3 linked regions of the Oryzias latipes genome follow. The protein of the gene in region 1 purifies or fractionates together with the protein of each later gene. This does not show direct contact. Links are inferred from orthologs where the notes say so. Each region holds a gene or a part of one and is shown in the gene's direction. Other genes may lie near its edges.

Evidence for each region.
Region 2: the proteins of cdyl (region 1) and mier1 purify together in Homo sapiens (co-immunoprecipitation; 3 studies listed by BioGRID and IntAct, counting the BioPlex papers as one, with this or other methods). This does not show direct contact. The link is inferred for Oryzias latipes from reciprocal best matches to the Homo sapiens genes CDYL and MIER1.
Region 3: the proteins of cdyl (region 1) and ehmt2 purify together in Homo sapiens (affinity purification with mass spectrometry; 4 studies listed by BioGRID and IntAct, with this or other methods). This does not show direct contact. The link is inferred for Oryzias latipes from reciprocal best matches to the Homo sapiens genes CDYL and EHMT2.

The regions. Positions count from the first base shown.
Region 1 is NC_019875.2:12,881,157-12,891,723, forward strand, and holds cdyl (chromodomain Y-like protein), read left to right. Parts: upstream 1-4,015; 5' UTR 4,016-4,311; coding exon 4,312-4,335; intron 4,336-4,505; coding exon 4,506-5,190; intron 5,191-5,691; exon of another isoform or gene 5,692-5,755; intron 5,756-8,024; coding exon 8,025-8,272; intron 8,273-8,535; coding exon 8,536-8,708; intron 8,709-8,779; coding exon 8,780-8,990; intron 8,991-9,068; coding exon 9,069-9,212; intron 9,213-9,288; coding exon 9,289-9,447; 3' UTR 9,448-9,883; downstream 9,884-10,567. Other genes in the region: protein disulfide-isomerase TMX3-like, read left to right, coding at 421-478, 571-624, 822-878, 959-1,088, 1,163-1,231, 1,305-1,490.
Region 2 is NC_019875.2:16,593,814-16,603,247, forward strand, and holds mier1 (mesoderm induction early response protein 1), read left to right. Parts: upstream 1-664; 5' UTR 665-694; coding exon 695-703; intron 704-739; exon of another isoform or gene 740-867; intron 868-1,802; coding exon 1,803-1,836; intron 1,837-2,088; coding exon 2,089-2,237; intron 2,238-3,024; coding exon 3,025-3,219; intron 3,220-4,275; coding exon 4,276-4,408; intron 4,409-4,494; coding exon 4,495-4,559; intron 4,560-4,678; coding exon 4,679-4,751; intron 4,752-4,854; coding exon 4,855-5,006; intron 5,007-5,092; coding exon 5,093-5,174; intron 5,175-5,931; coding exon 5,932-6,026; intron 6,027-6,163; coding exon 6,164-6,291; intron 6,292-6,438; coding exon 6,439-6,566; intron 6,567-8,068; coding exon 8,069-8,370; 3' UTR 8,371-9,322; downstream 9,323-9,434. UniProt on the Homo sapiens protein: Transcriptional repressor regulating the expression of a number of genes including SP1 target genes. Probably functions through recruitment of HDAC1 a histone deacetylase involved in chromatin silencing.
Region 3 is NC_019869.2:5,425,797-5,435,651, reverse strand, and holds the start of ehmt2 (histone-lysine N-methyltransferase EHMT2), read left to right. Parts: upstream 1-962; 5' UTR 963-1,008; coding exon 1,009-1,035; intron 1,036-3,875; coding exon 3,876-3,945; intron 3,946-4,047; coding exon 4,048-4,206; intron 4,207-4,942; coding exon 4,943-5,184; intron 5,185-5,282; coding exon 5,283-5,361; intron 5,362-5,447; coding exon 5,448-5,521; intron 5,522-5,606; coding exon 5,607-5,732; intron 5,733-5,836; coding exon 5,837-5,887; intron 5,888-7,106; coding exon 7,107-7,221; intron 7,222-7,827; coding exon 7,828-7,914; intron 7,915-8,607; coding exon 8,608-8,744; intron 8,745-8,913; coding exon 8,914-9,057; intron 9,058-9,316; coding exon 9,317-9,639; intron 9,640-9,718; coding exon 9,719-9,855. UniProt on the Homo sapiens protein: Histone methyltransferase that specifically mono- and dimethylates 'Lys-9' of histone H3 (H3K9me1 and H3K9me2, respectively) in euchromatin.

The DNA.
Region 1 (10,567 bases):
ATTCACTTGTTTATTGTTTTTCTGCTTACTGTGCATTTAAAATAATGTCTGACATGTTTGAGTATGAACTTTGAATGTATTTTATTTTGTGAAGCAGCTTTCATTAAAAGATATTTATACTACAACAGATAATAAAAGTTGTGCTTGATAACTTTTTTGCATTCAGGGAGTTTAATTTCAAATGAGGCTTGTGACAGACCTAGGATACAGTAGTAAGATTCACCTCTCTTTAGTTCTGAGAAGCCCTTAACTCGGTTGAGCAAAAGAAAATGGATGGATAGTTTGATAAATGCTCACTATCTTCATACCATTCTCCTGGAATTTATCATACGACCCTAAAGAGGACACTTTTGACATCAGAGTTGAAGTTCTTTGGTTGCAAATTGGCTCAGCTGAACTAACGTCACCATGTTCTCACAGGCAAATTAGTGCTACTGGCTCTGGTGGAGGAGAGACACCTATGTAGCAAAAGCCTGAGGTAACAGTCATCCATCTGTAGTCTATTCGTTGTTTAAAAGATCTGTGTTTCTGCTAACCCTCACACTCTTGTGTTTCCTGTCATCTGTTCAGGTACAAACATCTAGTAGAGAGAGTGGCTGAAGAACACAAGGAGACCTACAGCAGGTCAGGCTTTTACTTTGAAAAACCACAACAGAATTACAAAGCAAACATAAAATTGTCTGAAAGCCTCCAAAATGTATCATCCAAGATTTTTGGGTCTGATCTAAAATCACTGAAAAGCCCCAGAAATAGTCTAAAATCCTTGGAGATGTCCTTGTTGTTCTCTGGTTCCATCCATCCACCTGCTCTTCCACCTCCAGGTTCTTCCTCTTTGGCTTTATGGCAGCTGGGGACTACATCAATGGATTTGTGATGGGGTGAGTTTTTGTCTTGTGTTAATCACCATCTTTGGTTGTACTTCTGTCAGTTGCTACACGTCCTGTTTTGTTGTCATCAGAGAGGTCACTGTGCCCTCTTTGATCGCGGTTAATCTGTCCAATGACGGCTACTACCAGCCAGCTGGTCCTGTGGAGACAGAGCGCCAGCTGCTGGATTTCCTGGACGGGGTTCTAGATGGTACCATTGAGGTGAGTTGATGCAGTTTTGGCCGGGGGCGGAAAACTTGGTCTGGTATCTGATCAGTTAATTGGATGTGCCTCAGATGAAGGGAGGAAACGGCTTCAGTCAGCGTGTCCAGCGCGTCATTTATGAAACAAAAGCCACAGTGATCGTAAGTGACATCATCATATCATTGCTGGTTGTTTGTCTGTGTTTGGCTAACCTCCTGTCCTCTGTTCATCCAGCCGGTGTTCAGAGATGCTCCACTGATTGGCTGCTTTCTGGCTGGCTTCCCACTTGCCATTGGTGCTTTCTTCTGTTTCCTCTGCTGTAGGAATCAAACCATCCCAGATGATGATGAGGACACCGCCGCACTGTTAGCCTCTTCAGTGCCACAACGCAAAAAAATAAAAAACAAGAAGTCAGACTGACAGTAAAGGTCAGAAGGGAAAAACAATGCAGATCCACCTCTACAAGTCAGAACCAAACTAGTCCTGACTACTGCTGAAGTAACAGAACCTCCACACAGGTTTCAATCTGCTGCCAAAAATGCCACATTTGAGTTGAACTTGATCCAGCAGAACTCAAATCTGTCTACTGATCCTTGCATGAGAAATAAAGGATTCTGATCCATCATGTATGTTCAGTTGAGTTCATGTCAAACTTTGCTGTGGGTTTGTAAGTCAAGACAACAATGATTTATTTCAAACCTAGCCTGATCTTCTTCAAATCACAGAAATCCAAAAGTTAAAAAACGGTGTGATGAAAATAAAATGGTTTCTGTCACTTTTTGAGGTTTATGTGCAAAACCCACAAACTTCCTTTGGATGTCACCCATTAAACAATGAAACCTTTAGTGTGATAATCCCATTCACCTGAGTTTACTCCCCCTACTAAAACAGCATTCTGAAAATACCAATTAAAATGTAATTGAATATGAAAGAAGGATGCTTTAAAAATTTGATTGCTTTTAGAGTTAAAATTTAAGTTTCCTTAAACAATCCCTTGATTTCCAGGACTAGTGGTACATCCAAGCCCCCACCAAACTCTCCCTAACCCTTGTGCTATCCTAGGCACTTTAACATTGGGAGTTGGGTCATTTAGACCCACTAGACAGTGCGCTGAACCTTTTTTCTTCAATGATTTGTGATCTTCACTGGTGTCCATGGATTACATGAAATCTTTCCACCTTTATCCACCTTTGTCATGGTAGGAAGAACACGTCAATGTAGGGGTGAGGTCATCTAAGGTAGCATAAGGGTTAAAAGATCAAATGTTCATATGTTTAGAGACTGGATTTTTGATTGCCAGGTGAGTGGACCCAGAAAAACCTCAAACTTTGGCTTGTTCCTTCCAAAAGCAGCTTGAGATGGGTGGAGTAAACTCTGCTGTGCAAAATCCAGTAGGTGACGTCACAGTTGATTGGCTAGTCCAGGAATCTGCAACCTTCAACTCTGAAGGAGCCATTTGGGTTTGTTCCTCACTGAACACAACCGAGTAGCAGCTATAAAGTCTTACTTCATCCTTGATAAAAATTTGAAACTGCTTTTCTGTTTGGTAAGGATCAAAATTAAGTATCAAGAATTCTTAAAAATGTAAAACTGTTTATTTATAACCCTTGTGCTAGCTTATGGGGTCAAGATGACAATTGCCGTGTTCTCCCTGCCATGACAAAGGTGGATAAAGGTGGAAAGATTTCATGTAATCCATGGACACCAGTGAAGATCACAAATCATTGAAGAAAAAAGGTTCAGCGCACTGTGTAGTGGGTCTAGATGACCCAACTCCCAACATTAAAGTGCCTAGGATAGCACAAGGGTTAAGTGTACTTTGGTAGGCTGTTATCCTTTTCTTTACTTACTATCCTATTGGTGTTAACCTGAATTTGATTTCATTGGTTTATATTATGATCCAATAGAAAATTGTATACATAGAAAAGGAACATTTAAATATTTTTAGCAACTCCCCTCTGGACAGCTACTAAACATCATTGTGCAGCACAAGTTAAAAGATGCTTTAAATTCATGAAATAAATATGGTAATGAAAGATCATACTTTTTATTTGTAATGAAAGTGTTACTTTGTAGGTACATTCTGGTATTCTGGAGGAATGATAGAGCAAACCAGTCCTCTAGTGCAATGTCAACAGTGCTAAACATTCACACAGTTTATCTTACTATTCTAGGTACGCCTCAGCACAATAACATAACCTCAACAAACTTAAATTGAATTAATGCTAATTAGCCATATGCTTCTCATTTCTATAATTATTTTTTTCTTCAGCTAGAGAGCCACAATGGAGGGTAAAGAGCCAACCTTCAACTCTGGGGTCTCAGGTTGCAGACCTGGTTTAGTCTGTATATGTTTTGTCACAGTGTTTACTGGTAAAGACACCTCATCATGAACATGAACAATGAAATCGGTCAGATACAATTTTTTATGGGTGAAATATTTTTAAAAACTGAACACACTTTTAGCAAAAAGTAGTCTTTAAGGTGTGCTACACAAATACTAAAGGTGAGGCAGTATTCTTTAAGTATACTTTTCATATTGTACACGTAAAATGTTCCAATTTAGTCTGAAGAAGTATTTAGTCAGTACACTTCATACACTATGCATACTAGGTCTATAGTATACTTGACACAGTATACTTACGTATACTTAATCCAATCAACTTTGAGTGGACTACTTTTTGATAAGGGAAAGGATACTACTGTAAGTCATGTAATTTCAGCTGATTATTAAAGATAACTACATTTAATTATAGTTAACTCTAAACTAGACTCAAGCAATTCTTTTTAGAGCTGTTTAAAATTAAAGAATTGACAACTTAAGAGAGTAAAATTTGAATTTTCTTAAGTCCATCAACTACCAAAAACAACAACACATAATTCAAAAATAACTCCAAATGACTCCAAAACTGCCAAAAACCTTCCCGCAAATGTCATAAATAAAAATAAAGCACTAAACAGCAAGAAGTTTATTTGAAAATATGTAATTTTGCCTTATTTTCTCCGTTGGAATCAACGGGAATTTGTTCCTTTTATCTGACACGAGACTTTTATTTTGGAGAGCGGAAAAGGCGTAATTTCACACAAGCTAACAGCTAACGGCAACGTCACGGGAGACCGAAGCGGAGCAGCCGGTAAACGGACGTACGCGGCTGCACGCGCACAGACTTTCAGACTTTCTTCATGTTGCTGCTGACGTAAAGAAGCTTCTGGAAGCTTTACGTGCACGAGCACGCTCTACATGGCCACGCAGGAGCTGTACGAGGTGACAAAAGCTAATGCTAATGCTAACCGTGAAGTTTAGGATGGTTGGCAGGTTTTTAAAGTTTATGCTGTGACGTCAGTATGCTAGGAGTAAAAAAAAACAACCCCTCTGATCGTTACTAGCTGACGTCACCGAACAACTCCTCCATGACGTTGACGTGTGTCCCACAGGTGGAGAGGATCCTGGACAGGAGAAGGAGCAGGAAGGGGAAGGTTGAGTACTTGGTCAGGTGGAGGGGCTATGGTGCAGAGAGTGACACCTGGGAGCCTGAGAGTCACCTGTCCACCTGTGTGAGTTACGTTCAAGAGTTCAATCGCCAGTATGCTGAGCGACAGAGGGAGGGGGCGTTGATGCGCTCCACCCGCAGCCTCGCCCATCGACCACAGTGTGGCCCGCCACCCAGTTCCCCTGCATCTGCTGACCTTAGCAGCGAGGTCAGCAGGGCCTGTGTCCAGGTGAGGACGCCCCTCAGTCCCACTCACCTGTCCTGCTCCGCCCCCTTAACCTCACCTGACAGGTTTACCCCCTGCGCCATCTCTGCCCCTCTGGGGGGCTTTGCACGCCGAGGGGTGGACCTTTCCAAGACGGGCATCAAGATCCTGGTTCCAAAGAGTCCGATGAACTGCCGCCCCGACTCAGAGGAGTCCCCCAGCGAGGCGGCGCACAGCTTGGAGGCGGGCACTCAGGAGGCTCACCTGGTTCCGCCAGAGGTCGCCCTGCTGGAGAAACCTGTAGTGCAGCTTGGCCCTGGGGAGGAAAGGGCTCGCATTGGAACCAGGCCCCGGACCCAGAATCCCCTCTCCCCGCCCCGGGCCCCCATCACACCTGCGGCTGTTCGCTCCCTCAGCAGCTCAGGTGAGTCATGTGGCAGTCACGTGGAGCTCACACCCACGGTTTTTCGAGCCGGAACTTGACCATATGAGAATTTTATTTAGAAACCCATTCCAGAGAGACTACTGAGATGAAAGTGGTGTTTTAAACATGTTGTTGTGGTATTTTTATGATGATGGAGAACAGGCTTTAGGAAATGAAACTTAAAATGATATTTCTTAATATTTCCTCAATCACACTGTTGTTAATCAGGAGACAAACAAGCTGTTTGAAAATGCCTGTGCCAGTGATACAAGTGTTACAATCAGCGAGCCACAAGCTTCCTGCTGTTCTCCGTTCTGATGCTTCCACGTGTAGACAAATAGATCCATCTTTGTCTTTGTTTTCCTCGTCTGAGCTGGCATCTGGCTCAAAACTGTACGGCTGATTATCCTCAATATTGCTCGCCATTTTGGTTGCAGCGGTCTGTAAGCTTTTGGGAGAGCGTGTAAACAAAGGGATGATGGGAAGTGAGGAAAGACTTACTCTGTGCGAACAGTCTTGCCCCCAACTCCCAGGTGACTTTCTAATCAACTCCTGCCGCTCTGCCCTAAAAAAAAGACATGGGTTTATTGGCTTTGGGTAAAACGGCATAATCCTCATAAAAAGACCACTAGGAACAATTTTACAAAAGATAATTGGAGTGGGACTTTAACAGGTCATTTACAACTCATTAACTAATAGTTTTTTTAAGAATTTGTTAACTAGCTAGAATGGATAGGAGTGGAACTTTACCTTTCATCCATGAAACCCCACATCTGATTTTGGCAACATTTTTAAACAAGCTTTGGTGGATATTTACAGTCTAACTTTTTCTTTATTAAAGACATAAAAGTCAGATCATCTCACAGGTAAGTTAACAAAAAACAAAAAAAACTTGTTTGCAAGAATCAACGAAAGCCCAGTTTTCTTTTATTCCTATCAATATTATTAGTGTTGGGTCCATCAAGTAGTTGAATGCATGCTAGGTCTTGGTTCTGGCGAAAGCCCGGCAAATTCACATGAGGCAGTTGAGGTGGTGAGATTCACGTCCCAAAGGTTTTAACTCGACTAAAACTTATTTAAGCTCTCGAGTCCTCAGAAAGACATTCTGAGGTTGGGAGCCGTGGATTTTCTTTTTCCCAGGTTTACACCAAAAATATCAACGTTTTGTGTATTTTACTTGGTTTGTTCTTTGGAAAACACACTGATCTATTTTGAAAGCGTTCCCAGTGGTCTTCTAACAATGATAGTGGAGTTTAAGCCAAAAAAAAAAAACAGTCATTTTCTTGGACATGGTTTCTGCAGAGTGGTCAGTAGATCATTAGAAAATTACCTCTGAGTTTTTAGGTGGGACCATTAACCCTCCACCATCCCTATCTGTTGTGGAAAAGAGTGGAGCAGGAAGCTTGTGGCTCTGGCTCAGCGTATTTTCTACGTCACAAATGAGCTCTTTTTCAAACACATTGTTCCAACCATCAGATTGATTTCATTTAATGCCCATTTGAGGCCATAAAAGTGGACCCAAGGCATACCACATAAGCTTCTTGGGTTCAGACGAAGGAAGTTCTCCGCTATCTAAGTTGAAATATCCAGGAAACAGGTGCCATGTCACCTGGAGAGATGGTCATAGATCCACATGAAGCTTAGTGTCATCAGCATAGCTGTAGAATTTTATGCTTATTCTCTTGATGAGAGTGGCAGATTGTTAAAGCAACAAAGAGAAGGCCCTAAAATAAAGCCTTGGGGTTCTCTACGTCAGTATGGTGTTTGGAAGAGCAGTTATTAGCAAACAAAAAACAAAGTCTTGTTGATACTCTTTTTGCCACACATCACACCTGAAATCCCGTTCTCTCTTTTCTACCCTCTTTTTCATCCTGGACAGTTGACCCTAAGTCCTCCACCTGTTTCACCTCTACTCCCTGGAACCTCCAAAACAAATACGATAGATCAGTGTTTTTCAACCAGTGTGCCGTGGGAGATGGTCAGGTGTGCCGTGGGAAATTGCTAAAACATTTCCCATCTCCAGGATATCAGCTCTTTATTCATCCAAACAGGCCCTGATAAAACACTGAGAAGTTAGGAATATAAAAGATCATAAAATACTTTTTCTTTGGGTTCATTTGATTACATTAAAGACATTTTGATAAGAATGACGGTGCCGCGATTTAGCCGTAGCTTCAGCTGTTTCCAGAAAAGTCCCGCCCCTTTAACTGTCTCCGCCAATCATTCTTGGAGGCTTAATCATACGTCATCAGTCTGACCAATCAGAAGTGGTTAAAGTATTCACTTCCTTGTTCCGATTCAGCTCATTAAGTTGCTTAGTTCTAACAAAAAGACCAGCTAAAGCTCATATTTAGCGGTGTAACTTTCCGCGGGATACGGTATCAGACCATGGAACAAGTGAACAAAACAATGAAGCTCAGAGACGCTAGTCTGTCTGGCGTTTGGTGGTTGTTCGCACTACATCTCCCATGAGGCATTGGGTTAAAGTGAAAGCGTCTCAGCGCACAATGAGTCTTCTTTTGACGTCTTGAAACCACAACGAATACACATCAGACAGTTTTTAAATCTTCTAATTTAACTTTTATTACATTTTTTAGAAAAAAAACCAACTGCAGCTTCCAGCTTTTTCTGCCACAATCATCACAAAAATGCATGTGAGATTGCAGAGGGACTGTAGATCAATACAGACTATGAGTTTCTCCTTTTTTTTTTTTTATGCTGGTGTGCCGCGGGATTTTTATCAGGGTTAAAGTGTGCCGTGGCTCAAAAAAGGTGGAAAAACACTGCGATAGATGAAGCTCTGGGCTTTTCTGATGGGAGTTTTCTTTCTCCAGCAGGAAACTCGCCGCTAATGGAGGCCGCCGCTGCCACCTTAATGTCAGACGTGGTCACTGGGGCAACAGGTGCAATGGGCAAACGGCGTCTGGAGGAACGCTCTGCCTTCGACAAGCGCCTGAGGTTTAGCGTTCGCCAAACGGAGAGCGCCTATCGATACCGTGACATCGTGGTGAAGAAGCAGGACGGCTTCACTCACATCCTGCTGTCCACCAAGAGCTCTGAGAACAACACGCTCAATCCTGAGGTAAGGCCACGCCTAAAGGCTCCTGCTTCAACACGGCACTGTGATGTCATTGACATCAGCAAGGGGCTGCAGAGACTCTAGAGCAGTTCACTGAACTACTCTCCCCTGTGGTGCTGATGTGTTCTCCACCAGGTGAACAGCAAGAAGGTCATGCAGCCTTATTATGCTATTTTATCCCAGAATGCATCAGGTTTGTCCCGATGCTTCCTCAGACAGCCTGCTCCTGTCAGTGACATCACTGGCCTCTGTTCTCTTGTCTTCAGGTAATGAAGGAGATCCAGAGCGCCATGGCAACGGCAGCATCAGATGACAGTAAGCTGGTGCTGCTCGGCGCCGTGGGGAGCGTCTTCTGCTGCGGCCTGGACTTCCTGTATTTCATTAGACGCCTGACGGACGACAGGAAGAAAGAGAGCATCAAGATGGCTGAAACCATCAGGTACCTTTTGTGGTGCGGCTTTGATGCTGTCGTTCGTCTGCTGCTATTACCCTCTGTCTTCTCTTCCTCAGGACCTTCGTCAATACTTTCATCCAGTTCAGGAAGCCTATTGTGGCTGCAGTGAACGGACCAGCTGTGGGGCTCGGAGCCGCCCTCCTGCCGCTCTGCGACGTGGTATGGGCCAACGAGAAAGCCTGGTTCCAGACGCCATACACGGCCTGCGGGCAGACACCAGACGGGTGCTCCACCTACACCTTCCCCCGCGTCATGGGTCTGGCCTCGGTCAGTCCTCCCATCCCTTTAGCCTGGCATGCCCTTTAACCTTTACCTTTGCTGATTTTGGTTCTGGTTCTGGTGCAGGCCAGCGAGTTGCTGCTGAGCGGCAGGAAGTTGACGGCTCAGGAAGCGGGCTCTAAAGGCCTGGTGTCACAGGTTCTGTGGCCGGCCACTTTCACGCAGGAAGTGATGCTGCGGGTCAAAGAGCTGGTAGCAGTGGACTCGCAGGTCTGTTCCTGTGTCGGGTTTCTGCAGGTTCAGCTGTAGGTCAACTCTGACTGTTGTTCTGCTCCCCATCTCGCAGGTTCTGCTGGAGTCCAAAGCCCTGATGAGGAGCAGCAGCCGCAGTGCTCTGGAGCAAGCCAACGAGCGCGAGTGTGAGGCTCTGAAGAGGGTGTGGGGGTCTTCGCAGGGGACTGACTCCATACTGCAGCACCTGCAGAGGAGAACTGAGCTCTGCTAGAACCTGGACCCGGCTAAATCTGGGCTCTTCTTTCCATGACCTGGATTCAGCCAGAACACTTGAGCTGAACTCTCCCACAGCTGACCCAGATGTTCCACCGGGTTCTGTCCAGGTTCTCTGTGGGTCCAGCTGGTGAGACCGGCAACAGATTGGGGGTTTGGATGGTGACTAAAACGGCAGTTTTAACAGAACTGGCCCAGTTCTGAAGGCCCTGAAGGACAAAGTCTGATCCAGAACAGGATTGATCCGTGACGGTCCGTTTCCTGATGTGAATTCTGTAGCAACAACAATGTTGGTTGTTTCATGTAAACAAGTTTGTGTCAGACGGCTCTGTATGGAGATCAGGTTCTTCAGTCAAAAGTTCTGAACCAGATTCTGGTCTGGACCTGATCCTACTTTTCTATTTGTATTAAAGTAAGAACAAACTTGAGCTCTATCCTGACTTTTATTGAAGCTGAGGGTCATAGGCTCAGGTGCTCAGCGTTTCCCCATCGGGCTTTGAACCCTCAAATCAAAATTGAGTTTAGTGGTCACGTGATCCTATGGAGCGTCTCCATCAAATGCAGCATGTGTGAGCCTTGTTTGTAACAACTGCACCAAGAAAACCTCTGGAACTGGCTTTAAAGTCTCAAAAAGTACTTTCTGTTCGGCCGTTTTTTGTGCATAGTGTCCATGTTGACAGACCAGCTCAGCTTGATGTCCAGATGGAGTCCAAGATACTTGTCGGGTGGCATCCTCCACACCTGCACCTTCAGTGGCAGTGCTGATGGGATGTAAAGCAGAGGGTGTCTGGCAAAGGTCCAGCACCATCTTCCTGGCTTTAGAGAGCTGGAGGTTGTTCTGCCATCTTCATTCCAACAAGTCCTGCACCAGGTTCCTGAGGCCAGAACATCAGGGGGGGCGGCAGCAGTTTGTCACAGTTAAAGAGAACCACTTCAGAGATGATCATCGAAGGAGAAATGTTTTTATTTGGTTTAAAGAAGAAGAATTGCAAAGCCTTTTGTTTAAGTTGAGAGAAGAAGGACAGATCTGGTGCCACTTATAGCTCACCAAGTTAAAGTGATTCATTTCAGTGTTCTCGTCATGAATGTACTTTATGACAGTTTTACAGAAGGGAAAA
Region 2 (9,434 bases), about 3.7 Mb from region 1:
TTGAGTCTAAACTTTTGATTTTATATATTTAAATATAAAACTCAAAATCACATTTTGTCATTATTGTTTATTATTATCATCATTTTATATGTATTGATTGATTTATTGGGGTTTTAATTTTTCTTCATTTATTTATTTCAGGAAGTAATCCGGTAAAACTTTTTTCATATAATTTTTATTGAACTTCAAACAAACATATACACATAGATACAGATGAAAGAAATAAAAAAGAATAAATTACACATAAAATTATTTTAATAAAAACAATATAAAATAAAAATATAACATTAAAATTGTAGTTTACAATACTAGGGATTGTCATACAACATGTGATCTTCAATGAAAGATAATTGTATTGCGTTTTTTGTTATTTATTATGTTCAGAGATTTAAAATATAAACTGATCTCTTTTTGAAATTTATTGAGTAATGGGTTTGGTTTTTGAAAATCTGCTCTTATGAATGAAAAATTTCCCAGATATTAATAAAGTATTGAATGTCAAATCAAATAGATCATCACCAGAAACTACTCCAAATAATATGATGTGCTTTTGTAATTGAATAAAAATAGGAATAGGAAGTAATCCGCTTCATTTGAGCCGCATTGCTTTATGACTGTTGATACCGCAGGTAGGCGGAGCTTCACATCCGGGTGCTGAAGCTGACCCCTGACGTGACCCTGCAGGATTACAAACATGGCGGAGGTAAGAAAGTCTTATACATTTTCACTAAAATTATTTTCTTCTTGTGGGCGGCTGGTTCAGCCAGATTTACTCACACTCCCCTGCTGTAGCTTTTGAACACGACACGGAACGTCAGCGTTTTGTCTCGCTGGACGGGCGCCATTTTTTGGATCCAGACATGTTTGGTAAACTTTGAGCTTAGCTAACGTTAGCTGCGGCGTTAGCGACTATGTTCCGCGGTTTTTGTTTAAAAATAAATTATCAACAAAGGATTTCGTTTTTTCATAAACATAATTCTAAAAGTTTTTTTAAATAACTGTAATTTACGCGTTTTCTTTTCTTTTTCACCTGAAATCTATAAATAGCGAGCTTAAATTAGGAATGCTTTAGCAAAAAAACGAGTAAAGATTATTTAGCTTGCAAAAATTGTAATTTCAATTAGTATGAATAAAGTTTGTCAGCGCTTATTTCTAGAATATTCCTTATAGTTAAAGATGATGCATTTTTAAATTTTGGAATTTATTATAAATTTATATTTACTTATTTATCATATTTTGTCGGAAAAAGACGTGAAATTTATCGTTTTTTTCTTTTTTGTTGTTTCTGAGGTGTTGTAGGAATTTAATTGTACATTTATATTTTCTTATGCCACTTATATTAAACAAAACCCCGCCACACGAACCTGATTATGTAAAGCTGTTCAGCAGCGAACGGTTTCAGTTTCACATCCCATGAATTATTCATTTTATGCCTGTTTTTTTTTTAACCTTTAATACTTACATTTGAGATTTTTTGGTTTTTAAGATTTTGAGAGAGAGAGAGAGAGAGATTTATTTCGGTAATGTACAAACACAATCCTAAAACGTCAACATAAATGTTGAAGAAAATTTTACCTAAAGCAAATAATCCTCCTAATTTTTTGTTTTTTATTCCCACTTGTTACATGTTTGGCTCTTGTTTTGTTGTCATGTATTTTTTTATTCATGTTGTGTGTATTTCTGTCTTGTATTGTCTCATTCAGTACATCTTTGTGTTATGATGCCTGGATGTGTTCTGTAATGGTTTCATCTGTATTGAACTTTTTTATTTGACTAACTTTTCTTCCTTTTTTTCTCTCTAGCCTTCGCTGGGGAACTCGAGCCCAGGTACACATGGTACTAAATGCTTACACATAATTTGTAGAGGAATTTGTTTAAAAAAATAAAAAGTAAAAGCTGGTTTCCCCATCTTTGTTCTTATTTTAATGGTCTCTAAGGCATACATACATTCTGGGCTGTTTTGTTAATATTTAGGGTTACACAATATTTTGTTATGTCAAATTTCTAAAATTGGTATTATATATTGATAAATGACTTTTTGGTTCAAAAATGCTCCTTTGTTTCCTTTTTTTACTTGCACTTTCCAAGGAGGTTCAGCAGGTTCTGATGACCATGATTTTGACCCCACCGCTGAGATGCTGGTGCATGACTTTGATGATGAACGCACACTGGAGGAGGAAGAAAGGCTGGAGGCGACAGACGACACCAATGTTAATGAGATTGAAGACCTTGCACGGGTTTGTTTTATTTTAAATTGTAAGACCTTTTGCTAAATGTAATGTTATATTTCTGGTGGTATTTATTATAGTTATGAAAACCCTGTTTGTTTGTGTGTTTTTAACCTGATTTTTAAAATTTGTCTTTAATCTAGTGTGATATTTTTAATTGAAATAGTTACTTTTAACTTGTAACTAATAATGGGAATGATATATTATTCATGGATCTGATATATTTTTACATAAACGAACACATTTTCATTTCCCATCATTGTAATGCTGCGTTAACTCCAAACACGATTTGCGTCGGCCGCCTATGTTTGGAAGCGTGGCTTGTGGGAGGAGCTACCACCAAATGTTTTTGGCCTGATTGCTACAGGGAGCGGTGTCTGTGTGCATCTCATTTACGATGCATGGAAGACCCCACTTTGTCAAAGTTCAGAGATTTGAACTCTGGACGCAACACTCAAATGGCGCTGCTGCCGGACCGACGTGCCGCGCCCGATGCCCAAATCGCGCCACAGGGCCTCTGACAGCATTTGAATATTGATTTAACCTTGAAACTGGACGTCTTTATCACACCAATAACGTTTTTCCTCCTGGTCACAACCTTTAGGCTAATTTTAAAATTGAAAAAGTTCAATCTCTCCTAAAGAAAGATAGACAAACAACAAACTTGTTTTTTTCTATAAACTGAGGATTTAATAGATTCACATTGTGTCAGAGGGCAACTTTCATCACCATTCAATGTCTTACTGTGAATCAGTAATAATAGGAAGTGAACTAAACTCAGCTTTATTTTTAATAGGAAGGTGAGATGCCCATACATGAGCTGCTGAGCCTTTATGGCTATGGGGGTAGATCACCAGCAGAGGAGGAAGAGGAGGAGGAGGAAGAGGAGGAGGAAGAACCTGAGGATGAGGACGACGAGGAAGAGGACGAAGAGGAGGATCTTGATAACGATGAAAGCAGCAGAAGCACTGGGGAGCTGAAAAGAACTGAGGTAGTTTTTAGCTGTGGTCTCACTGGTTTGCGGATTTTTTTCAATGCAATTTAGTATGTTTTTTAATTTTTTTTAACAGCAGGTTGTGTCCTGCGTCCTGATTGGCTGTAGGCCTTTGCCAATCAATATCTTCTGTGCCGTGGCTCTATAATCTGTTCAGTTTGCCAAATTTACAATTTTGATCGCGAGCAGATCTCTTTCATTCCAAAATACTGGACTTATTTTTCTTTGAAAGTTTAAACTTTGAGAGTTTAAAAGAGAAAAATGTTAAATGAATAATTATGTCTGTCTTAGTAAAGTGTATAAAGTGTGTAGTGAGGGGTTATACTGCCTATGATTATATTCTAGGGTAACACTCGTGATGAACAAGTGACCACTGTCATAAGAAACTGTGATCTATTGAAGGAAGTATACAAATCACTCAGAGAGGCCTTATCTGATCAGACCAGAACATCTGAGAGAAAGTGGAGCAACTACCTCCCGTTTTTGACAGTTATAAGCCGTAAACTGTCCCGGGGCTCATACCCATGGAACCTCGGTGTCAAAAGGCTCGCCACTTGCTTGTTAAAACTTCTAAGGAAACTTACAGAATATTTTAAGATACCTTTAAGGTTTGTGTAAAATGCAAAAATGTGCCAGTGTGCAGAAAAACAAGTTATGAATGATTTACTTCGTATTTTAGACGGCCAAAACACAGAAAGCATGTTTTACTTCTGACAGGTCTTTAGTGTTGCTCTTCTCCTCCATTACTTTTACACTCTTCTTCCTCTCTAAGCCCTCTCTGTAAAAGAGCCTCCACCCTCACATGTACCACATGTTCACCATCATGGCCTGTGCGTCCTGCCTCTGTGCCCGTGTCATGGAAAACAGCGCATTGCTTTTCCGTAATAGATCTATAGATTAATGGCTGCAGACTGTTTCTTTGTTCCAGCAGCTCCTCAGTCCTGCAGCTTGTGTCTGGTTTCCTTTGTCTTAGGAAATCACTAATGGGTTGAGTTGGTCCAGGTTTGCCTTTCATTTCAATACTTTGTTGTAAATTTCTCCTTTTGTTTTCAGGGTGTTGAGGACTTTAAGACCTCGTCGGGACAGGGGAGTGACGCCCAGACCACTTCTGAAGTTCGCACGCGCTCAGTCAGGTCACTCGGCACAGCAGAGCTGATTCGCTCCCAGAAACTCAAGTACTTTGAAAGTACGTGTTTTCTGAAATCCTTCTCTTCTGCTTCCTGTTGCTGAAACCTCCTTTGCCCTGTAACTGAACACTGACTTGTTCTTCAGGTAATGATGCTGAGGAGGAGTCTGATGAAGATGAGGACTACGTTCCATCTGAAGACTGGAAAAAGGCATGTAAAAACGTCAACTAAGAAATGTTCAAATGGTGGCTGAACTAAAAGCCCACAGAATGACGAATGTGGCCCGCTCTCAATGTTTATTTATGTTACTATTTCTTCTCTTTTCTCAGGAAATCATGGTGGGTTCCATGTACCAGGCAGAGACGCCTGCTGGGTTGTGTAAATATAAAAACAATGAGAAAGGTATGAGAATTTCTCTCTGATTCGTCTCCAAAACAGCTTCAGTTAAAAAAGTAAATGTCTCAAATTTATAATTTTTTTTTCCTTCCTTTTTCTGATCTGATAGTTTATGAAAATGACGACCAGTTGTTGTGGAACCCTGAACGTCTCTCTGAGGGCAAAGTGGTGGAGTTTTTAACAGAAGCATCACGGCGGACGGGGGAGGAAAAGGGGGTGGATGCAATCCCTGAGGGATCCCATATCAAAGACAATGAACAGGTGAGTTGGATGCTTCCTGTAAATAAAACAGCTGGACGATGCTTTTTACTTGACTTTTCTTACGGTTTGTCGTTGTTCTGCCGTAGGCCTTGTATGAACTGGTGAAATGCGGCTTTGACACAGAGGAAGCTCTGAGAAGGCTGAGGTTTAACGTCAAAGCAGCCAGAGGTAAACACATCTGTTCTTGAATTCTTCCACATTTATACTTAGTGTTTTTCTTATTCAGCTGCAGCTGCTAATATTTGCTTCAGACCTGCACACATACAGTCAGGAAGCCTTCTCCATTTGAAGCCTTAAACATCTATATTTATGATAAACAGTGATACGATAAACGGCTATGGTTCAAAAGGTTTCTGAAAGCTGCTTCTGTTTTCTTCTGGAAGATGGCTGGAAACGTTGATCCCTGAGATATTTATCTACAAAAATCTCTAAATGGTGTATTTTATACATCAGTGGAATTAAAGTCCCACTCCAATGATCTATTTTAACAGCATCCCCAGTGGTCTTTTAATTATGATAATGCTGCTTTCAGCAAACCCCGCCCCCCTTCCCCTCCCCCGTTGCAGACCGGGGCAGGGAGCTTGTGGCCGTCCAGCACATTTTCGTCGCCATCACAACATTTTTCATCTGCTCCTGATTCACAACAATTGGAATAAAGAAATACTCAGAAATGCAAATTAAATCTTCATTTTCTTTATATATGGCCTCCATTATGAGAAAAATGCCACAAGAACATGTTTAAAAAGACACCCTTTTCATCGGAGCGGGACTTTTAAGATGATTTCATGAACGGCAATATGAGAAACTCTGCATCACTTCCTGCTTTTTCAAATTGGAGTTTCTTGCAGTAAACTTTTCAAAGTCATCGTTCATGGAGGAAATGCTGGCTGTGTTTTGTTTTGACGTGAACCGTTCTTTTCAACAGAGGAGATATCTGTGTGGACAGAAGAAGAATGTAGAAACTTTGAACAAGGACTTAAAGCTTATGGAAAAGACTTTCATTTAATACAGGCCAACAAGGTACGACTCAATTCAACCACATACAGTGTTTGCTACATAAGTGTTTGGCTTTAGAATAAGCAAATAAGAACTGTTTTCCTGTTCAAATGATGCTGATATTAATGATCCTTTTATGTCTGCTGAATTAAATCTTTCAGGTGAGAACTAGGTCTGTAGGAGAATGTGTGGCCTTTTATTACATGTGGAAGAAGTCTGAGCGTTATGATTTCTTTGCACAGCAAACCAGACTGGGAAAGCGGAAATATAACCTTCACCCCGGTGTCACGTAAGTTTTTGAGAGAGCATTCAAAAAAATGAAGAAATGCAAGTTTATCATCGGTTTAGATTTATGTTTTTATTTTTTTTAAATCAAGTTTAAAAGTTTTTAAAAAGCCTGGATGAACGAGGTTTTTTTTCTCCTTCTTTTCTACAGAGACTACATGGATCGATTACTGGATGAGACAGAGAGCGCGACGTCCAGCAGGGCGGCGTCGCCTCCTCCCACCACTTCTAGCAGCAGCACCAGCCACTCCGAGAAGGAGGATGGCAGCAGTCAGAACGGTGAGCCAACACTGCAACTTTCTTCTAAAGATGGGAATTTTCAGAGTGAAAAGCAAAAAAATCTCCTAAATAAAACAATCGTTTTACAAAAATAAAAGCCCCAGTCTAATTTAGGTCAGTTTATTTGTTCTAAAGTCCCACTCCGATCATCTGTTGATGTATTGTAAAAGCAATGTCAGTGGTCTTTTAGTTCTGATTGTGCAGTTTTTAGCCAAAACTCTCCTAGTTATTGTAGGACATAGTTTCTGTAGGAGTTCATCAGAAATTGGTGCGGACCAACCCCGCCCCCCCCTTCCAGTCACCCATAACTAAAAGCTCTGTTTACATGCTCTCTTCACACCCCCAGCCTAACATTACCGGTGGCGAGCAATATCAGAGCTATCCAGCCGTAGAGTTTTGAGGCAGACGTACATGGATCTAGTCGTCCACATGTGGACGCATCAGAATGGAGCGGAGCAGGGAGCACGTGGCCCCGCCCATTGTAGCTTCTACATCACACCTACAGGCTTTTTCCAAACTGCATTATTTTTGTCTACTCCTGATTCACAAGGATTTGAATTAAAAATATACTCAGAAATACAATTATAGGCTTAGTTTCGGTTATTTGTCCCTCATCATCAACTGAAAAATGCCATAAAAGCATTTGAAAAACACCTAAACCACAATTTTCATCAGAGAGATAATATTACATTTCTGTATCACAGCTTAGTTCCATCCAAAGCTGCAAAAACAACTTTTTTCCACTTTTTCTTAACAATAAGGTTCAGTTCTGTACTCTAAAGTGACCAAATAATGCGTGAAAACAATATCATTACAACAATAGAATTCACTTAACCAATCTGCTGCGATTTTTCCATCTATTTATTCTTTTATAGAGTTTTCTTCCCCACAGTAAATGAATATCATGCCCCATACAAGACACTGAAAATAACATTATCTGATAAAGTCTTTAGCTATTCTGAATGACCAATAGGCATTGAGCTTATAAAATCAGTCATTTTTCTACTTGCATTTTCTCGTGTAGTCATCTTTAAAACTTCTTTTATAAGGAATTTCACCTCTAGTTTTTATTGATGTCCTAGAAACATTGTTTTGTTTTATGCATCGCAGAAATCTAAATAAATATTTTTTTTGCTTTTTCCCCATGATGACATCATGTCTCCTCAGGCGATTAAAGAAAAGACGAGCTCCTCTTTACATCAACTGGGGTTTAATAACTATTTATGGAGGCTTTGGGAGGCTCTTTCTGTTAAATGAAGGGGACAAATGGCCCAAAAAATATTATTTTCTTCATAGTTTGCAAGAAGTTCCGAGAATACACAGTTAAATATTCTGTTCATCAATAAAGACTTAAAAATAAAAATAAAAATCGCTGCAAAAATGGCGCCATATCTTTTTATTTGAAGTAAAGCCAGTGGAAATAAAGTCAGAGGAATTGTTTGTAGTTTTTGTTCTTCCCTGTAAAAACGCTTTTTTTTGTCTTTTTTTTTTTGTCTTGACAGGTGTTACAAACCACCCAATAGATTCTTCTCAGTTGGTTCCGGTCAACCCAGTCAAACCTGAGGGCGTCCGGTCCAATGGTCCCTCTCAACCAGAGAGGGAAGCTCCTCCCCCAGTTCCAGACAACGACTCCAACGGCTGCAGCAAGCCAAGCGCTCCCAATCACGACAGAAACGGTTCCGTGGACTCGGTAGCAGAACACGCGGCAGAGGTCGCACACGAAAGGCCGGCCAAGAAGTGCCGGACAGAGGCCGAGCCCCTGAGCCAAAGCGAAGTGGAACCATCCAGAGCACACGAGAAATGACATGTTCATCTGTTGGCTGAGGAGAACCGGAACAAACTCATTCCGGCGTCTTTTACCGGGGAAACAGGAAGACGGAGCGGAGCGTCTGATGAGAACAAGCAGTTGGAAGATCTCTAAGAGAAGAGTGGAGTACACGGCTGGATTGAATTGCCCCCCACTCCTGAACTACCACAGAGAAATCATGGACTAATAGACATCTTCTATCCATCTGTTCCATTCTTTTAGAGACTGATAACATTTTGCCAAGAATTTTGCTTTTCTATTTGTAAAATAGATCACCTGTGATATTTTTTTACACAAGATATTTATATTTTTTAACCAAATAAAATCTAATAATGGGTCTTTGTTCAAGCCATTGTTTTATTGTCATGAATTATTAAAGTTGGACATGCTATGAAGCTTGCGTGTGAGATGCCAAAAAACAAAAAAAACAATGCTAAATTGGCAAAAACCCTGAGCTGGTGACTTCACCGGCAGATGTAGTTGCACTTTGACAGCATGTTTCTCGTTTTTACCGATAAAGAGCAACCCCAGCGGACATGCCTTCTCACTCTTCCCTTTTCTGTCACAGCTGTTTGTTGTTGATGATGAGTAAGCCGGGCAGTTGCGCCCCCCGCAGGTTTTTGTGTAAAGCAGCTGACATCTGTGATGTCTTGTATTATGAGTCGCCGTTTAGATCTTTGTATTTTTGGAACTTTCTTAGTGCTTTGCTTAACTTTTGTTTTTACTACAGAATGTTTGGGATTTTTGTAAACTTTGTACACATCTTCAGCAGTTGGTACTTTTCTGTTTTTTTTGCAGTTGTATTCATCCGTCTCTTAGTCTTCCTTATTTCCTGAGCTCTTTTTTTTCGTTTTTACTTTGCTTTTGTCTCATTTAAGTTGGATGTAATAAAAATTAGTCATTCCTCTTACAGCCTATGTGCTGAGCTTTGATTAAATCTGCTTTTTAGCAAAAATGCTGCCTTTAACCTCTTCATCCCAAATGTTGCTAATTCACAACGTAATTCATTTAGCTTAACCTTCAATGGAAAAAACACTGAAGATTGTTTTAAAAATCCAGAA
Region 3 (9,855 bases), on another chromosome or scaffold:
ACCTTTCTGTATTCATTTTTGTGTGATAAGTTCTTTGTTTTTCTTTTAAATTGAAAAATGTTTTTATCATATAAAACACTGTTCTGTGGGCATGAAAATTGCTTTACAAATAAAGTTAGATTTGAATTGAAAAACCAGAAATGTTGGTTTGGCCAAATTTAAAGGGAAAATAAACTGTTTATCAACAACACGAGTTTTTCCATTTAAAACGCAATAGAAGCTTTTATTATTACTCTTGCCTGGTGTAATAATAAAATGTAACTAAATACAATTATTTTTGCATCACGTGTATCTAATATCGATTTAGCATTCAAAGTTGGTAGCCTCGGGAAGAAAGGTTAGTCAAGATAGCTAATCTGGGAGTAAAAGAAGATTAGGAAAGTGTAGGTAATCCACATGTGTTATCTTAACCTAGGTGGTTCAATTTTTAGAGATAGAAACAAACAAACAATACAAATCACACATTTTTATTAATTTGTTTTACCTTAAACTAGCTAACCTCCTCGACTGTTAGCTAACGTTAGCTACCAACTAAACGCTCGTGCCTAAAATCTACGGTCCGATCCAAAGAGGATCGGCTCCCAGCCACAGAACCAAAGCTCCACAATTTTTGGAAACTTTGCGCTTATTTCTATACGTACCTTTGTCTCGTGGTGTTCGGTGATTTGTAGCGTCTCAAACAGAAGAATCAACTCCGAAGGCACACTGCTGACAACATGATCTCATCTCGTGGCCGCTGCTGTGCTACTGCCCTCGATTTTTTGTGTTTACTTCTATCGCCTCGTTTCTCCGTAGAGAGTGAAATTCATCACAATGAATCACAGACCGCCAGTTTGACATACGAAACCGACTTCGAATCGGTTTCCACGCGCAACTTTTTGTGGAAAACGGCCACGAGCCACGAGCACGTACACTGGTTTCTGATCAGTGATTCGGAATCAGTGTGCTTCGAAGGGGCGGGGCTGGAGCTGTGACGTAGCACGTTCAGCCGACGTGCTTCGGGGAAACATGTCGGCGTCCCACACAACGACAAAGGTAGCAACTGCAAAACGGGTTTACGAGCCCTTTTTACGCCTTTCTATTCTATTTTTACATACAAATGCGCATTAGTTTATTGGACATAATGAAACACAAGAATCCCGCATACCGTTAGCGTATTTGTGTATGTATAGATAAGAATTATTGTCTTGTAAGCAGTGTTAGGATGCTAGCAGTGCTAGCATGTAACAGTTATAAATGAGTATTTAGTCAACATTAATTCCTACACTTGACTCCCATTTATGACTATTTGCTACACATTCAACCCTTTAAATATATTTTTTTAATGTTTTAAATTATTCCACTATTTATCACGGAGTTCGTTCTTGTTGTTCTGTACGCTAAGTTCATCGTTTAAAATAGAAAACAAAGTGCACGAAAATTAATTTGTATTTAAGAAATATATATTTTTAAATGATTTTTGTGTTTATATTTGTGTGAAAGAGAAAGCTGGATATCTCTTGTTATGGGCTGGTTGACATGGCAACCGGGAATATAGGAGTTAGCATCGCCGGGAGGTGAAATTTGAAAAGAAAGTCTTAAGTTTTTAGATCAATCTTTTGTGTCATCATTTTTTAAATATAATTGTTAGATGGTATTTAAGTAACTAAAGCAGATTGCCATCCTACATACTTAGTTTTATCCTCAGCAAAGATTTAGGAGTAAAGCATTGATTTATGTGGAGAAAATATTATTATTACTAGTGTTTTTTTCTGGCAACATCAATTGAAAAAAACATTTTTTTTTCAACAAATAGTTTCCTATCAGTGTAAAAAATATGTGTTTTTTTTACTAGCTGTTTTCTCAGAGTCCATCACCTCGTGATAAACTGCAGTAAATGCATGACTTCTTGGGTTATTTTTTCTTTTAATCAGACACGTTTTGTGTTTTTTCACATACCTGACATGTTTTGGCGGCATCTGAGTCGTGATCAGGTGGTGGGGATGTGACAGGTGGAGCAGAGGAAATACTGTTATTTATAATAATGGTATTTCCTCTGCTCCACCTGTCACAACACCACCACCTGATAACGAGTCTGATGAAGGCAGAAGTGATTCCGCCGAAACGTGTCAGGTACATTCAGGAACATAAATATTTGGACATAGACAAATTCTTTCTAATTTAGTTTTTGTACATTACCACAGTGAATTTTAAATAAAACCACTTAGATGCCATTGAAGTGCAGACGTTCAGCTTTTATTCCATGGGTTGAACAAAAAGATTGCATAAAAATGTGAAAAACTAAAGCATTTTTTGAACACAATCCCTTCATTTCATGGGCTAATAAGTTATTGGACAACTGACTTCCATGCTATTGCATGGGCAGGTGTGGGCAATTCCCTTGTTATGTCATTATGAGTGAAGCAGATAAAAGGCCTGGAGTTGATTAGAGGACTCGTGCTTGCATTTTGAAGAGTTTGCTGTGAACAGACAACATGCGGTCAAAGGAGCTCTCCATGCAGGTGAAAGGAGCCATCATTAAGCTGGGAAAACAGAAAAAAACAATGCGAGAAATTGCTACAGTATTAGGAGTGGAAAAATCAACAGTGTGGTACATCCTGAGAAAAAAAGAAAGCACTGGTGAACTCAGTAACGCAAAAAGACCTGGACGGCCACGGAAGACAACAGTGGTGGATGATTGCAGAATCATTTCCATGGTGAAGAAGAACCCGTTCACAACAGCCAACCAAGTGAACAACACTCTCCAGGAGGTAGGCGTATCAATATCCAAGTCTACCATAAAAAGAAGAGTGCATGAAAGTAGATACAGAGGGTACACTGCAAGATGCAAGCCACTCATAATCCTCAAGAATAGGAAGGCTAGATTGGACTTTGCTAAAAAGCATCTAAAAAAGCCAGCACAGTTCTGGAAAAACATTCTTTGGATGAAACCAAAATCAACCTCTAACAGAATGATGGCAAGAGAAAAGTATGGCGAAGGCGTGGAGAAGCTCATGATCCAAAGCTCACTACATCATCAGTAAAACACGATGGAGGCAGTGTGATGGTCTGTGCATGCTTGACTGCTAGTGGCACTGGGACACTAGTGTTTATTGATGACGTGACACAGGACAGTAGCAGCCTAATGAATTCTGAGGTGTTCAGAGACAGACTGTCTGCGCAGATCCAGGTGAATGCAGCCAAACTGATTGGGTGGCGTTTCATAATCCAGATGGACAACGACCCAAAACATACAGCCAAAGCAACTCAGGAGTTTATTAAAGCAAAGAAGTGGAATATTCTTGAATGGCCAAGTCAGTCGCCTGATCTTAACCCAATTGAGCAGCATTTCACTTGTTGAAGACTAAACTTCAGACAGAAAGGCCCACAAACAAACAGCAACTGAAAGCCGCTGCAGTAAAGGCCTGGCAGAACATTCAGAAGGAGAAAATCCAGCATCTCGTGATGTCCATGAGTTCAAGACTTCAGGCTGTCATTGCCAACAAAGGATTTTAAGCCAAATATTAGTAATGACCATTTCATTTGTCCAATTACTTACGAGCCCATGAAAAGAAGGGATCGTGTTTAAAAAATGCTTTAGTTTTTCACATTTTTATGGAGTCTTTTTGTTCAACCCATGGAATAAAAGCTGAAAGTCTGCACTTCAATGGCATCTGAGTTGTTTGATTTAAAATTCACTGTGGTAATTTACAGAAACTAAATTAGAAAAAAATGTGTCTGTGTCCAAATATTTAGGGTCCTGACAAAACACAAACCATGTCTGATAAAAAAAAAATAACCCAAGGAGTCAGTTAATCTTATAGACACAATGAACTTTATTGAATATCCATGGTTTCGGTTTCTGAAAATCTCTTTACTGGTCTTTTCTTTGATAGGATGACTCAAAAAATGTTGATACAGAAACATCCAACAAGCCAATAGCAAAACCAAGTCAAGTAAGCCAAGGTAGGTTTGGAACTTTGATGATTTCACTTTATAAAATTCATGTTTAAGATTTTCTGTGTGTGACTGTTCTTCTTTTATGGCTCATGCTTGTGTGCATACCAGACGATGAAGACCTCCCCACGCCTGATGATGCTGAGAAAGCGATGCCCACTGAGGCGGTGCAGTCACCGCTGTCATGCCAGCAAACACAGAGTGAGGGTGGCAGTGTTGCAGAGGATGAAGATACTCTGATCCATGCACCATCAAATAAACCTGCAGCAGGTGAGAATACGCTTCCTCCTGATTTCACCTGGTCCTTGTAAATCGGTAATTTCTTTTATCTGGAAAATAGATCTAAAGGAATTTATGTAACTTGGTCAAAAACTTGCATTTCCTGTCCAAGTGTATATGTGAATCTGAAAAACTGGTCATAGATGATGCTGAATTCTGCTTAATTACTAAAGCAAATTGTTCACTTCTAAAAGAAAATTAATGAAATGAAATTAGCTTAATCTGTATTATTTTTTCTATTCAAAATGAAAAATAATCAAAATGTCCAGAAAAAAAAGGTTGACAAAAAAATCTATAAAAGGCCCCCAAAAACCTGTAATGATAAAGTTATCAGGCTGTGAACTTGATTTTGAACCCAAATTTTATATTTTAGCCTCTTTATGGGATTAATATTCAATCATTGAATACATTGAAATAAAATTCATGTGGCTTTTTTATGTATTATCCCCTTCATGCCTGAATTTATTTCCAGCTATTAAAAAGTTTAATATTTTTTTCTGCTTTCAAGCTGATGCTAAATTAAAGAAATTTTGGAGCAGAAGTGGTTCAATGTGTTTTTGCATCAACAGGCATTTAGGAGTTATATACACTAGATGGATACTGTGACAGATACAGTAACATTTATACAAAGTGCTCTTTTGTTAGTGCATCGTTCATTACTCTAAAACAAGAATATACAATTGTTGGATTTTGTCATCGATAAAAGCTTTTCTCATTTGTCTCACAGGACACGAAGCCAAGTCTCCTACCTCTGCCTCTTCATCACTGGCGTCCTCCGCACCTTTAACGTTGTCCCCTGGCCGAGCAAAGATGAGCGTTTGTGTCCCCACCGGGAGTAAATCCTCTCCTCCACTTGCTCCATCCTCTCCTCCCTTCGCCGCCTCGACGTCTGTCTCCCCGTCTGTTTCTCCCAGCCCACCTAAGATCCACCGGGCCCGCAAGACCATGAACAGACCCCCGTTTGGGCTGGTAAAAGAAGACTGAAGAGTTGGTTTAAATAGCTGCTTTTTAGTAAACATTTTTGTGACTTTTTTTTTGTTTGTTTGTTTCATGTTTTTCTTTTTTAGAACACTGGGTCTGGTGAAGTTGCTTCAGCATCCCAGACCCCGTCAGGATCGCCCTGCCTCACCTCTGAGCCCGAAAGCTGTCAGTAACATTTAAAAGCTTTGGTTTACCTTGAGTTAAAATAAACCCACCTGTTTCATTACATTCATGTTTCTTTATGTTTATAGTGGCCTTAAAAAAGAGGAAGCTGGGTCATGTATCAGGCAGCAGCTGTGAAAACATTCCAGATTATTCTCCAACTGTAAGTTAGTGGTTTTCCCCCTTCCTTAAGTAAAAGTCTCCGTTTTTATTGGTGGGTTGACGTGTATTGTCGATTTGAAATGCAGGAGGAGACGTTGTTTCATAAAAAGGTGGAAACTGCTTTGGCGAAAAGCAAAAGCTGCGTGAGGAAGACCAGGGATGAAGGAGAACAGAGCCAGAGCTCCACTTCATCAGCACAAGATTCTGGAAACGTGTGAAGCTTTGATGCATTCTCCTAAAACCTCGTCCTTTTAATTAAACATCTGGTTTCTCTGTTTTTATAAAAATTAACTTTTGTCCTTTTCGTTTTGATCAGTTTCAAAACGGCGTCGATGCGAGTGAGCGCGCTAATGACACGGAGGATCACGTGAGTAAATTTAAACTCAAAAAATGCAAACAGTTGTGTTTTTAATGCAACATTTACAAATTGCAACAGCTGAAAGGAATAGAGCACTGAAAACAACATAAAACAATTATTCTCTCAAATTAATAATTTGTGACAACTAGTATTTTGGGTGCACCAATTTGTATTTGTGTGCACAAAATAGTACTTTGTGGCCATTAAATATTTTATTTTGTTAGCACTTTGTGTCACATTATAGTATTTTCTTTCTTACAAACTAGTATTTTGTGTTTTCAAACAAGTATTTTGTAGTCACATATGAGTATTTTGTGCTTACAAGTTAGTATTTTGTGCTCACAAATCAGTATTCAGTAGTCACATATTAGTATTTAGTGGGCAATAATTAGTATTTTGAGCTCACACATTAGTGTTTTGTTGGAACTAATTAATGTTTTGTTGGCACTAATTAATACTTAATGGTCAAAAATTTGTATTTTTTTGGGCACAACTTAGTTTTTTTTCATCACAAATGAGTATTTTGTGCTCACAAATTAGTACTACATGGTCACAACTTATCATTGTATTAACATGTGGTCACATATTAGTAGTTCGCACTCACAACATGCTAATAAAATACTCATTTGTGGCTACTAACGATTGACTTGGGGGAATAATTTATCTTTTTTTTATGTCCAAGGCTCCATAGTAAGGGGATCTAATTGATGGTTCACGGTCATCATATCTGTTTTATTTATTGTTGTTTGATGACAATGGTAAATTCAGAATCATAAACCCTAACAGTCTGCCATAAACACAAAAAAAGTGTAGAAAACGTGAAAATCCAGAAACCAGAAAGACTTCTGATGAAAAATTTCGGAGTTATTGATTGTAATTTTTTTATTTAAGTTTCAAAAAATCTTTTACATTTCAGATTTCCAGTTTGTCTTTACATCAAGATATTTGATGACTCTAGAGGAGCGTTAGGATTGGTTGAGTAGTCAAATTAGTTTTTGACCCTTTCTTAATTTTTTTCAGGTTTCCCACCAATGATGGAACAAATTTACACCATCAAATCTTTATTTTGAAAGATATTTCAGTGTCAAACTGCAAACTTTTAAACTTTAGTTCCACAACCCATTGAAGTAAAAACCAGGAGCTGTTAGACTTAGTCCAGGGGAGCAGAATGATAATGATAATGCATGCCAGTGTGCGTTTATCTACTTAAATAACTTGTGATTTTCAGCGTTTGGAGTCGGAAACACCAAAAACCGTCTTGAATGAGGGCGAAGAGTCTTCGTGGTTACTGTCAGGTCGAGACAAAAAGAGAAGCTCGGTTGACTTGGTGGAGATGGAGGACGGTGAGTGGTCTTTTCTGCGCAGCGCGGTTTCATAATCAGTCCTGTTGTTTGTGCTTATGGACCATAAAGAACGTTATTAAAGTGAAACTTAAGTTCCACCAAGGCTATAAAGTCCCACTGCAATCATCTTTTGATTAATTGTCAAAGTGTTCCCAGTGGTCTTTTAATTATAATTTGGCTGCTTTTTGGAGATAATTCATCAAAAATTTACCTCTGAGTTGTGGGCGGGACTGTCAGCACGGAGCAACGCCGCCCCCCTTCCCTTCTCCTCCCCGTTGCTGAGAGCTGGGAGCCCGCCCAGTACATTTTCTACTTCAAACTATGATCCTGATTCAAATCAGAGACTTTTTTTTCCGTCTGCTCCTGTTTCACAACGATTCAAATGAAGAAATACTTAATTTTCATTAAATGTGTCCCCATTATGAGAAAAAAATGCCACAAGAACATGTTAAAAACACTGTTTTTAAACAAATCTTAAAAAAATATCTTCAAGATGCACAACTGTTTTGCATTAAAAGGAGAGGATAAATGATTTTACTGTAGGAATTATTGTTGTGTTGATCCTCTCATATCTCCTGACTGCTCTGCTCTTCTGTTGGTCTTCAGAAGAACAAGCAGACGAATACACCGAGGTTCCTTTGGGTGACCTGGACATCGCAGCTGCCGACAGTCTAACTCTTTCCCCTCCTCCTGGTGGGTTTAGTCTACAACTACATTTTTGTTGACCTCTGACCTCGAGTAGAGGCTGCCGTCTTAAATGAAAACAATGATACATCACCTTTGGTACCAGCTACAAATTTAGGGATTTCAATCCTAACTCCTCGACCACCATTGGGTAGCTTCGCGTTTGAACGGCGTTAGCGCGGCGAGCTCGCAAGAGGGAATGTCATCTCTTGTTTGCACAATTTTTACTGGAATATTGTGAACATTTAATTCAAGAACTGTCGGCTCAAGAAGAATGAAACGCTATAGCATGCAAAATAAACACACTAGGAATGTGGGCGTGGTTAACAAAAAACCTCAGTTGCCAAGGAAATTCAAGTTTACTTTTGCAGATTTGTCTAAAAATGACACAGAGCTGTTCGTCACCCCAGAAGATCAAACATATAATGGTTGCTATGGAGATAAAACCCACATAAAAGCTTTTTAAACAAGTGTTTTTTCAGGGTGGGGTGGGAAGGGGGTGTAGCTCATGGAGGTAATAAAACCGCATGAGCGGTTGAAGTTTAAAATCACTTTAAACTTCAACATTTAAAGTGAGCTTCAGAAATAAGCAAACATTTTCTCCAAAATGAGTCTTGAAGCATTTTGTGTTTGTGCTTTTTACGACAATCGAAAGGACACATGTTCAGATCTTGGTGGGTTTCTCCTCCATCTTCCCTGCAGAAGGAAGCGACGCCGGCGACACGGAGAGGCTGGAGGAGCTCCCCCTGTGCAGCTGCAGGATGGAGGCTCCTCGAATCGACAGCAGCTGCCAGCGCATCAGCAGACAGTGCATGGCCACGGAAAGCCTCAACGGAGAGGTCGGGGAACCAACCCTCGTCTCTTAAATAACAAATCCAACAAAAAATAAAACTGATGGAGAAATGAAACGCAAAAGTTCATCAGACAGCTCAAACTTGGAAGTTTTTTCCTTAAAATAAAGGATTTTTATGTTTGACATAAATGTCCCACCTTTCCGTGGCGTTTCAGCTGCGGGCGTGCACCAGCTGGACCGTGAAAGGTGAGACCATGCGACCATCCAGCCGGGTCTCCCTCATGGTGCTCTGCGACGTCCATCGCTCACACATGGTCAAGCACCACTGTTGCCCAGGGTGTGGCTACTTCTGCATAGCAGTAAGTGTGAGGAGGAACAGATGTTTGAAATATTTGGTCTGTTTGTGGCGAGTTAGAAATCCGTCGGTTTTCCTCTTTGTATGATTGTTTTAAATCTTCATTTTTCATATATTTCTCCTCATCTCTTTAGACTCTGCTTAATCCTGTTTTTAATTTTTCTGTATTTTCAGAGGATGTTTTTCTTTTGTCTGTCCACCTCAAACCTGGTCAGGTTTGGTCCATTCTCTTCATTTATATATTTTTAATTCTTCTTTTGCAGGGGACGTTCCTAGAGTGCTGTCCTGACCAGCGCATCGCCCACCGTTTCCACCGCGGCTGCGTGACCGTGCTGAGCAGCGGGCGCAGCAGAGCCAACGGCGGCGGGATGATTTTCTGCCCCCACTGTGGGGAAGATGCCTCAGAAGCTCAGGAGATCACCCTCCCCTCCTCCAGCGCCGCCGCAACCTCAGCCGCCACAGTCGTCACCATGTCCGCCTCCTCCACCACCACGCCATCGCTGCCCCCGACTGCCCCTTCGGGACCCTCCCTCAACGCCTCCACAGGAGGCACGAAGGACGAGAAGATGCCGGAAAGACCCGTTAGGTGAGCTCAGATGACCTTATGGCTGCCTTTGCTTGTGAAAGTGTGGTTTCTATTGATGCTTTGTGTTTTTCTTCATCAGCGCTCGGATGCAAAGCCACGGCTTCTTCACGCTGACCGTGGAGCAGCCGCCGCAGTCGGCGCCCGTTGCAGCGACCGTAACCGCCGCCACCACCCCTCCAGGAGAGGAGGGAGTGGACAGCGTGGGGCCGTCGCTCT